Linked DNA regions of Oreochromis niloticus. The protein of the gene in region 1 interacts with the protein of each later gene in a pairwise test. Links are inferred from orthologs where the notes say so. Each region holds a gene or a part of one and is shown in the gene's direction. Other genes may lie near its edges. The genes, in order: tchp and ndor1.

Region 1 (3,924 bases):
GATATAAATAAAAATAAAATACACTGGTGTGGTGAAACGAGACTAACAGGAGAGTGAACGTGCCAGTGGAGTGAAGTCTATTAGGGCACTAATTAGGCAAGAGAGTTTCAGACACCTGTGTGAATGTACTATGAGTGTGCGGGATGGTAATGGCCTGTAGGAAAGTTGGCTCAAAAATTTCTGGGTCAGGAAGAATAATGGTGACAAGGAGGAAAGAGCTTAATATCGACATCAGACTTGGTTCATCTCAAGGGTTTCACGTGGCAAATTCAATGGAGGGACTTTGGCATATTAATAGAGAATGAAGCCGCACAAAGATGCCCTGGCGCACCGCGGCACCGGTGAATGGGCAAGGGGAACTCAACACCGTACTAATCAATTTTCACAACTTAAAATCCAGGCCAGTGGAGTAAATTATGCATGCTAAAGGATTGTGGACAGGTTGGTGGAGAGAAACACGATCCAGAAAAGATTATCATTAGGAAGAGCAACATCGTTTTGTTAAACGAGATGGAAGTGTTGTGACAGATTTATCATCACTACAAGTTCAGTGTTTAATAATCAGACAAATTCCAAATAAAGATTCACCACAGTGGAAAAAAATGTCCATTGCATGGGTGGTAATTTTAACGTAAACTGCACATTTTTGTACCTACTGGACCAGTTTAACAGTCGTGGACGTATAAAGCATGATCAGTCAGTGGCATTAATCTGGAAGCCTGAGGTTAATCATAAAAACCACCACAACTATACATTTTCCCTGTTGTCATCTATTTTTTAAAATTCACCACTTCATTTGCAGTCCCATTAACGCAGTCTCCCCTGTGTCACACTGTGGAAACTCCACTTACCAAAGAATGGTGGAAGGTATGACACAGCTTCCAGAAACGGTCTTGTTTCCACCTGTCTGTCAGCTGGCAGCTGTCTGAACTGGTGCTCCATTAGCAGAGCCATCTCTTTAGTCCGGATACACTCCTAACTGTTGAAATGATAGCAACAGGCTGTCAGTCCTCCACTGCAGCTTCACAGTGATAGGAGGAGGAGAACACACACACACAGAGAGAGAGTGAGAGAGAGAGAGAGAGAGAGAGAGAGAAACATCTCTCTCTCTCTCACACACACACACACACACACACATACACAGAGTGAGCGAGAAAGAGAAACATCTTTCTCCCTCTCTCTCTCTCTCTCTCTCTCTCTCTCTCTCACACACACACACACACAGAAATATCTCTCTCACACACAGAGAAGCCTCTCCTTCTCTCTCTCTTACACACACACACACACACACACACACACACACACACACAGAAATATCTCTCTCACACACAGAGAAGCCTCTCCCTCTCTCTCTCTTACACACACACACACACACACACACACACACACACAGAAATATCTCTCTCACACACAGAGAAGCCTCTCCCTCTCTCTCTTACACACACACACACACACACACACACACACACACACACACACACACACACACACTCACATGGAAGTCACCTACACTGAACTCCTGGCTGCAGAGGAGCTCATGTGATCGACCTGTTAGTGATAGATCCGGGCCATCGCCACCTGCCGGGGTAAGAGGCCGGATAAACGGCACACTTCTGCCAGACAGAAGAAACAAGTCCAGAGTAAACAGCACCTGATGTGCTCCATCAGCTGACACTGGTCTTCCTCTGCGTTTAATCACATATGCTCCTTTGCTGCCAACTAACGGAGTCTGGTGGAATATCGCTCTTTGGTTCCACCTAATTTATCTGTTTATCTGTTTTGTATTATTTCGTTAGTTATAGTTATCCCAGCATTCGTGCAAGCATATAATAGCTATGTAATATCTTACTGTAAAAGACAGACAAAATAGTATCACACATGAACTTAACAGTTTTGGATTTTACTTAGTTTATTTCATTTTAGTAATTTTTAGTTTAAACATTTTGTGTTAAATGTAGTTTAGTTTACAGAGTAGGTTTGCTCGTTCTTATTGTTAATTATTAGTTTCATATAAGTTCTAATTAATATTAATATTATTAATATCAGTAGTAGTAATAGTAGTGGTAGTATCAGATAGATGTGTCGAAATTTCGACATATCTAACTGAAAATTTAAAGGAAAGTTACAACATTTCAACACACTGACCCAAGAGATAATCACATAAAATCATGACTTAATGACGACAAAGACAAAGAAAATTCAGTGGCGGAAACAAACTTCCAACTATGCCTTTCGCGTTTTCCGCCACAAACTAAATTTGACCTTCACTTCATCCCGTAGCGTGTGAGTAACTAGGAAGTGTATGTATCGGTAACTAAGGAAAGCTGTAGTATTGAAGTGAGTAAATTTAAGCTTTCTGTGCGTGAAAGCAAAACGTCGATTGTTTTTTTAATTAAAAGCCAAGGGGAGGCAAACCGAGGTACCACCGAGAGGTAAAGTGGCTGCTATCGTTGTAGCTAAACGCTCCTTTTATCCGAGTGCTGATGGGTAGTTAGAGCTGGTAGTCTTTTGTTCTTATTGTTTTCTTTATTCTTTACGGCCATGAAATTATAAATGTTTTATGGGTAGAGCACGTATAACAATGAAGATATTGAGCTGTCTTCGGCATCAATATTTGTTAAGTAACTAATTACTTTAAAAAGCAGTATCAGTGAATATATGATGGGGCTAAGAGACCTTTGACTTGTGATGTCTACATTCGTCCATATTGACTGGCTACATGCCCTAATGAAACTATGTCTGCACTGTTATTTTTAACAAATTTAATATCAAGCTTTCATTTGTGTTAACTGTTCAGGTTCATGGCTCTGCCGACACTTTCGACCCGTGTGCCCAGTCGATCTCGGGTCCTGGCCGACCAGCTGGCCCGGCAGCGGGAGCAGGAGGCCCGGTGGCGGCAGCAGTGGGAGCTGCATGCTCAGTACTTCAGAGAGCAGAGCATCCGCAGCCAGAAACAGACGGTGTGGAGCTCCCGTCAATCCTACCAGCAGAGGTAACTTCCTCCAGCATAGATGCTCTCACTCACACGGTCTCCGAAACGTTACACAAATATTGAAGCAATCCAACTAAATAACTACACATTGCTTTATATTTAGTGATTTTATTTTTGTTGCCTCCTTACATTTTCTTGTCATTAATTTTACATGATTGCCATAACGTACTCCAGCATTATCATCCTGTTTCTCCTTTATTGCCCTCAGAGATGGCTCTGTAAGTAATCACGTCATGTCATATATAAGTTCTGTGTTGTGAAAAAAGTGATAGTACTTGACACTACTCCCTACCTTTTTTATTATTCATTTAGGTAACACACAGAGTCTAATAGAAAGCATGAAGAGAGTATTTTTCCCATGAGGGGACACCATAGGTATGGCCAAGCACATTTTATGATTGGATCTGAATGGAATGCTAACCAGATAGTTACTATAATATTATATTATCTATATTGTCATCATGTATAAATGAAAGACTGGAGCCAGAACATAAGCAAGACAACTAAGGGATGATGACCAGAAAAAAAGGTCTTCTTATTACATCAGATGCAGTAGAATCACCTAAAAGCACATCCTTAAAAAATAGTTTTCAGAAGTGAATCAAAGATTTCGAGTAGCCTATGGCAAAACTAGGCTAACCTTTATGTTGAAGTCTCGATTTTACAACAGCCGGAATGGACTCATCTCAGTCTGGGAGCAGACTCACGGCCAGACCGCAACACTTTAAAGGTGATCAGGAAAATTTAAAATCTAAAACCTACAGGAATCCAATCTTGTGAAGCCAGGATCATCCTGGAAATACCATAAATACTGGAATTACAATAAATAAATGTTTTCATGAATTCCTTTGGATTATTAGAATATGCTGGTATGCTAAGAGAAGTAGTGTTCAGTTGTTTGTTGTACTGTGGGTATACCATAGTGTATCTTC
Region 2 (3,924 bases), on another chromosome or scaffold:
CTCTTATTCCATAGATGACAAGTCACCAATTAATACACACACTTCATCATGTTAGGATCAGATGAGCCGGATAAACACAAGATATCTGGATCTAACACAACTGTTTCATACAAATGTTTAATGTGTGTTTGATTGCCCCCTGTGGTTGAGGTGTAGAGCAGGGGTCCCCAATCTCAGTCCACGAGGGCCGGTGTCCCTGCAGGTTTTAGATGTCCTTGATCCATCACAGCTGATTTAAATGGATAAATTACCTCCTCAACATGTCTTGAAGTTCTCCAGAGGCCTGGTAATGAACTAATCATGTGATTCAGGTGTGTTGACCCAGGGTGAGATCTAAAACCTGCAGGGACACCGGCCCTCGTGGACTGAGATTGGGGACCCCTGGTGTAGAGGTTCAGATTTCATAGTTTGTGGTTGAATTTAATGTGAAATTATATGAAATAACTGTTGATCGGTACCTGACTCTGGTATCTAGGCTGCTGCTGGTGGTGGTGTTGTGCCTGTCAGGTGATTCCCTGATGTGGATGAAGCTTTATGTGCGTAGCTTTAAGTGTTATGACAGTAATGTTAGAATTCACTCTGTGAATGGTTCTTCAAGCACCTTCGGTTCTTACCAGAGTTTGCAGATTATGGACTGTTAATATGCAATCCTTGCATCCTAGACTAATTCAGATCCAGAGAAGGCTTTTCTAATCCTGCTCATGTCCTCAGATCTCTGAGTGAACCCTTCTCAAAACAGGCAGCGTGGTGAATAAGACCTCACAGGAGGAAGGTGGTCGCCACTTTCTGTGAACTCAGATGTGAGTTTAATGTGAGCTCAGCTCTATTAAACCAGTGCATGAGGTTTGCAGGAAATCTACTTGACCACGAGGTGGAGACAAACACAGAGCAGTCACTGTTTGTCTGCAGATGTTTTGATATTTGACATAAGACAACATTAAGCACTGTAGGCTAATATAATTTTTAAATGAGACATAATGAAGCTACATAGTGGATAAATCAGGAAATTCAATAAAAAAATATGCTTATTTCAGATGTTTTAGGCTCAAATTTAAGACAAATCAATAAAAATAAGTCACTCTGTTGCTGTTATTAATTAATACTTAAAGGAAAAGTATGTCTTCATCAAGAATTATGTTTTTAAAAAAGAAAATAATAAAGAATAAACAGCAGAAGTTGATAGTGAAAGAATTTTTACGTAAACTTTGTTATTTCTGATTTTCCTCCGGGGCTCTGAACGCAGCGTCGACCTGTGAGCCAATCACAGCGTGCCTGCCGTAAAGTGTGGCGTTGAGGGTCAGCATGACCAGTTACGGCCCGGCTTCTTAGTTTATTTGGTTCATTTGTATAAGTTTCTAGGTAATTGTCGACGAAGACAGCGACGGTGAGTCGATTTGTTTGTTTGCTTGCTTGTGGTCATAAATGTGATTTATAGACGAAAAAAAAAAAATAAGTAAAATAACGGATCAGATTTTTATCAGTCGGTTAACTAGTATTCTAGCACGTTAGCTAGCAGCTCAGTTATGTAGTCCTGAGTGAAGGTGAACGCCTGGTAGTTTACCTGTTTAATTGTTATATTTTATTTATTTCATTATATCTACTGTAAAAGTAACCGAGATACCTGCTGGTCACGGAAAATGGTTTATTGTGACCCAAACAAAGAGATTTATGCTCGGAACATATTTCTGAGTGAAAAATTAAAGTATTGCTAATCAATGTGTTCAGAGCCAACGTTTCCTGTTTGTCAGCATGTATCATCACACAGACATGTGTACATGTGCAAAGACAGTCTCATGCTTATAAGGATGAAAGTCAGATGATTAGAATTAAAGTCACGTTGTCGTTTGTATTGTTTAATTGATTGTTTTTACTATAAACTAACAGCAGAGCTCCGCTTCACGTTTCTTTGTTTCGAGTCTTCTCTTTATGAGCACGGTTTTCGTCTAGTATCTATTATAGAATAGAATAAAACTTTATTCTTCGCTAGAATCGAGCATCATCTTTGTTTCACCAAAACATTTATTCAGAACTTCATCTGTTTACATGTACACAGCAGGCAGCTGAACAAATGCAGCTTCCTGTCCATTAAACTCTGGGTTATTAACCTTGACGGTGAACTTAAACTTAAACTGTCACATTTGGGAACTTCACCACTGCCTGCGTCACCCAAGGAAAACTGAACCTGAGGCTCCATCTGGGGCCAGTTAAGAGAAAAATAAGTGGCTGTGTCACATGAGCCAGGGGCGAGTGTACCAGGGTCTAACTCCTGTGGTGGGACTGCATCCTGAGTGGACCAGAGAGAATCGAACTCTTTGCTCCATGTTTAATTTAGGCCCCATAGGCTTTTTTGTATCCAAAACATGATGAGTCTCTGTTCTCGTGTTTCTGTCAGCAGTCATGTCAAATCCCGCCCTGCTCATTCTGTACGGGAGTCAGACAGGGACGGCTCAGGACACGGCACAGAGGCTCGCCCGGCAGGCGCAGAGACGGCGGCTGCGGGTCCGTGTGATGCCGCTGGACGACTACAACGTGGTGAGTGAGACGAAGTTTTTCAAACGTAAGGGGGAGTGTTAAAGTTTTCAGAGCTGTGACTCGATAAATGTGGAATAACTGTGGGGTCACAGTTGGTGTTTCACATGTTTATACCCAACTTTAGTCCCAGAGGTGCTCCTGAGTACTCCTCCTCAACCTCACAGCGTGTCTTTTTCCTCCCATCAAACAGGCCGACTTGATCTCCGAGTCTCTGGTCGTCTTTGTTTGCTCCACTACTGGTCAGGGAGACCCTCCCGACAACATGAAGGTAAGAAAAATGAAAACTGGAAGAGTGAAAGGTGACCTTCCAAAAAAGAAATGTCATTATTTTTAAGCACAATTATCTTTTTACTTCCAGTCTTTCCAGTTTGAAATTAAACAAGAGTTTTCTTTTTTTAAAGTTTAGAGTGTTTCCCCTCTTCTTCCTGCTAAATGTAGGGATCTTTAAGGTCTGTCCATAAGGTTTTTGAGTCAGTCAGTCATGGCCAAAGCTTCAGAATGAATCAGATTCTAATCCTCATATTAGAATCAGATCAGATTCACGTGAAACACATGAAACACATTCTCACGTGAGAGAGACATTAAAGCTTTTTTAAAACTGTTGTACACTATCAGTAGCATCAGTATTGTCGGACATAACAGGTAGATTTCTCCTGGACTTATGAATATGAAGGTAAAGTGTTGTATGGCTCCATTAAATGTAGTAAAGTTATATTAAACAAAGAAGCTAATTCTGAGGGTCAGTGAGAACCTCCGTGGTTTTTCTGAAGAAGGATAAAATATTTCATGCACAGCCAATTATATTTTGAAAACCTTTACCTCTGTCTGAGACATCCATGTGTTCTTTGTTTTAAGAATTTCTGGCGGTTCCTCTTTAAGAAGTCTCTACCTGTCGGGTCTCTGAGTCGGCTCGACTGCGCCATCCTGGGCCTGGGAGACTCCTCGTATCCAAAGTCAGTCCAGGGTTTATGCTCGCTGTTCTCACCATTAGTCTACAGTGACTCATCTGGTTTTTGTTAAAGCGTGTGCATGTTGTGTGCACCACAGGTTCAACTTTGTGGCCAAGAAGCTCCATAAGCGCCTCCTGCAGCTCGGTGCCTGCGTGCTGCTGCCTGTGGGGCTGGCTGATGACCAGCACGACCTCGGGTAAGAGACACGTGTAAACATGAAGATGGTGGAGAGTTTGTTGCTCGTGTACTGAGCTGACGGTGTGTTTGACGCAGAGCGGACGCTGTGATCGACCCCTGGTTTGCTTCGTTTTGGGGGAAAGTGTCGACCCTTTACCCGACTCTGTCCGGCGTGATCCCGCTGAGGGAAGACGAGCCGTGAGTATCCGCTCCACGTGTCCCTCTCTCAGAAGGCGTACATTTAATATATAGGTTTGTTCTGTGT

The links.
Region 2: the proteins of tchp (region 1) and ndor1 interact in binary tests that used the Homo sapiens proteins (3 or more experiments, as listed by UniProt). The two-hybrid records come from large-scale screens. The link is inferred for Oreochromis niloticus from reciprocal best matches to the Homo sapiens genes TCHP and NDOR1.

Annotation. Positions count from the first base shown.
Region 1 is NC_031977.2:18,102,673-18,106,596, forward strand, and holds the start of tchp (trichoplein keratin filament-binding protein), read left to right. Parts: upstream 1-1,451; 5' UTR 1,452-1,586; exon of another isoform or gene 1,587-1,653; intron 1,654-2,285; exon of another isoform or gene 2,286-2,432; intron 2,433-2,797; 5' UTR 2,798-2,801; coding exon 2,802-2,992; intron 2,993-3,924. Other genes in the region: gltpa (glycolipid transfer protein), read right to left, coding at 852-954. UniProt on the Homo sapiens protein: Tumor suppressor which has the ability to inhibit cell growth and be pro-apoptotic during cell stress. Inhibits cell growth in bladder and prostate cancer cells by a down-regulation of HSPB1 by inhibiting its phosphorylation.
Region 2 is NC_031972.2:34,629,943-34,633,866, reverse strand, and holds the start of ndor1 (NADPH-dependent diflavin oxidoreductase 1), read left to right. Parts: upstream 1-1,227; 5' UTR 1,228-1,384; intron 1,385-2,392; exon of another isoform or gene 2,393-2,395; 5' UTR 2,396-2,397; coding exon 2,398-2,532; intron 2,533-2,722; coding exon 2,723-2,800; intron 2,801-3,387; coding exon 3,388-3,485; intron 3,486-3,579; coding exon 3,580-3,678; intron 3,679-3,755; coding exon 3,756-3,857; intron 3,858-3,924. UniProt on the Homo sapiens protein: NADPH-dependent reductase which is a central component of the cytosolic iron-sulfur (Fe-S) protein assembly (CIA) machinery.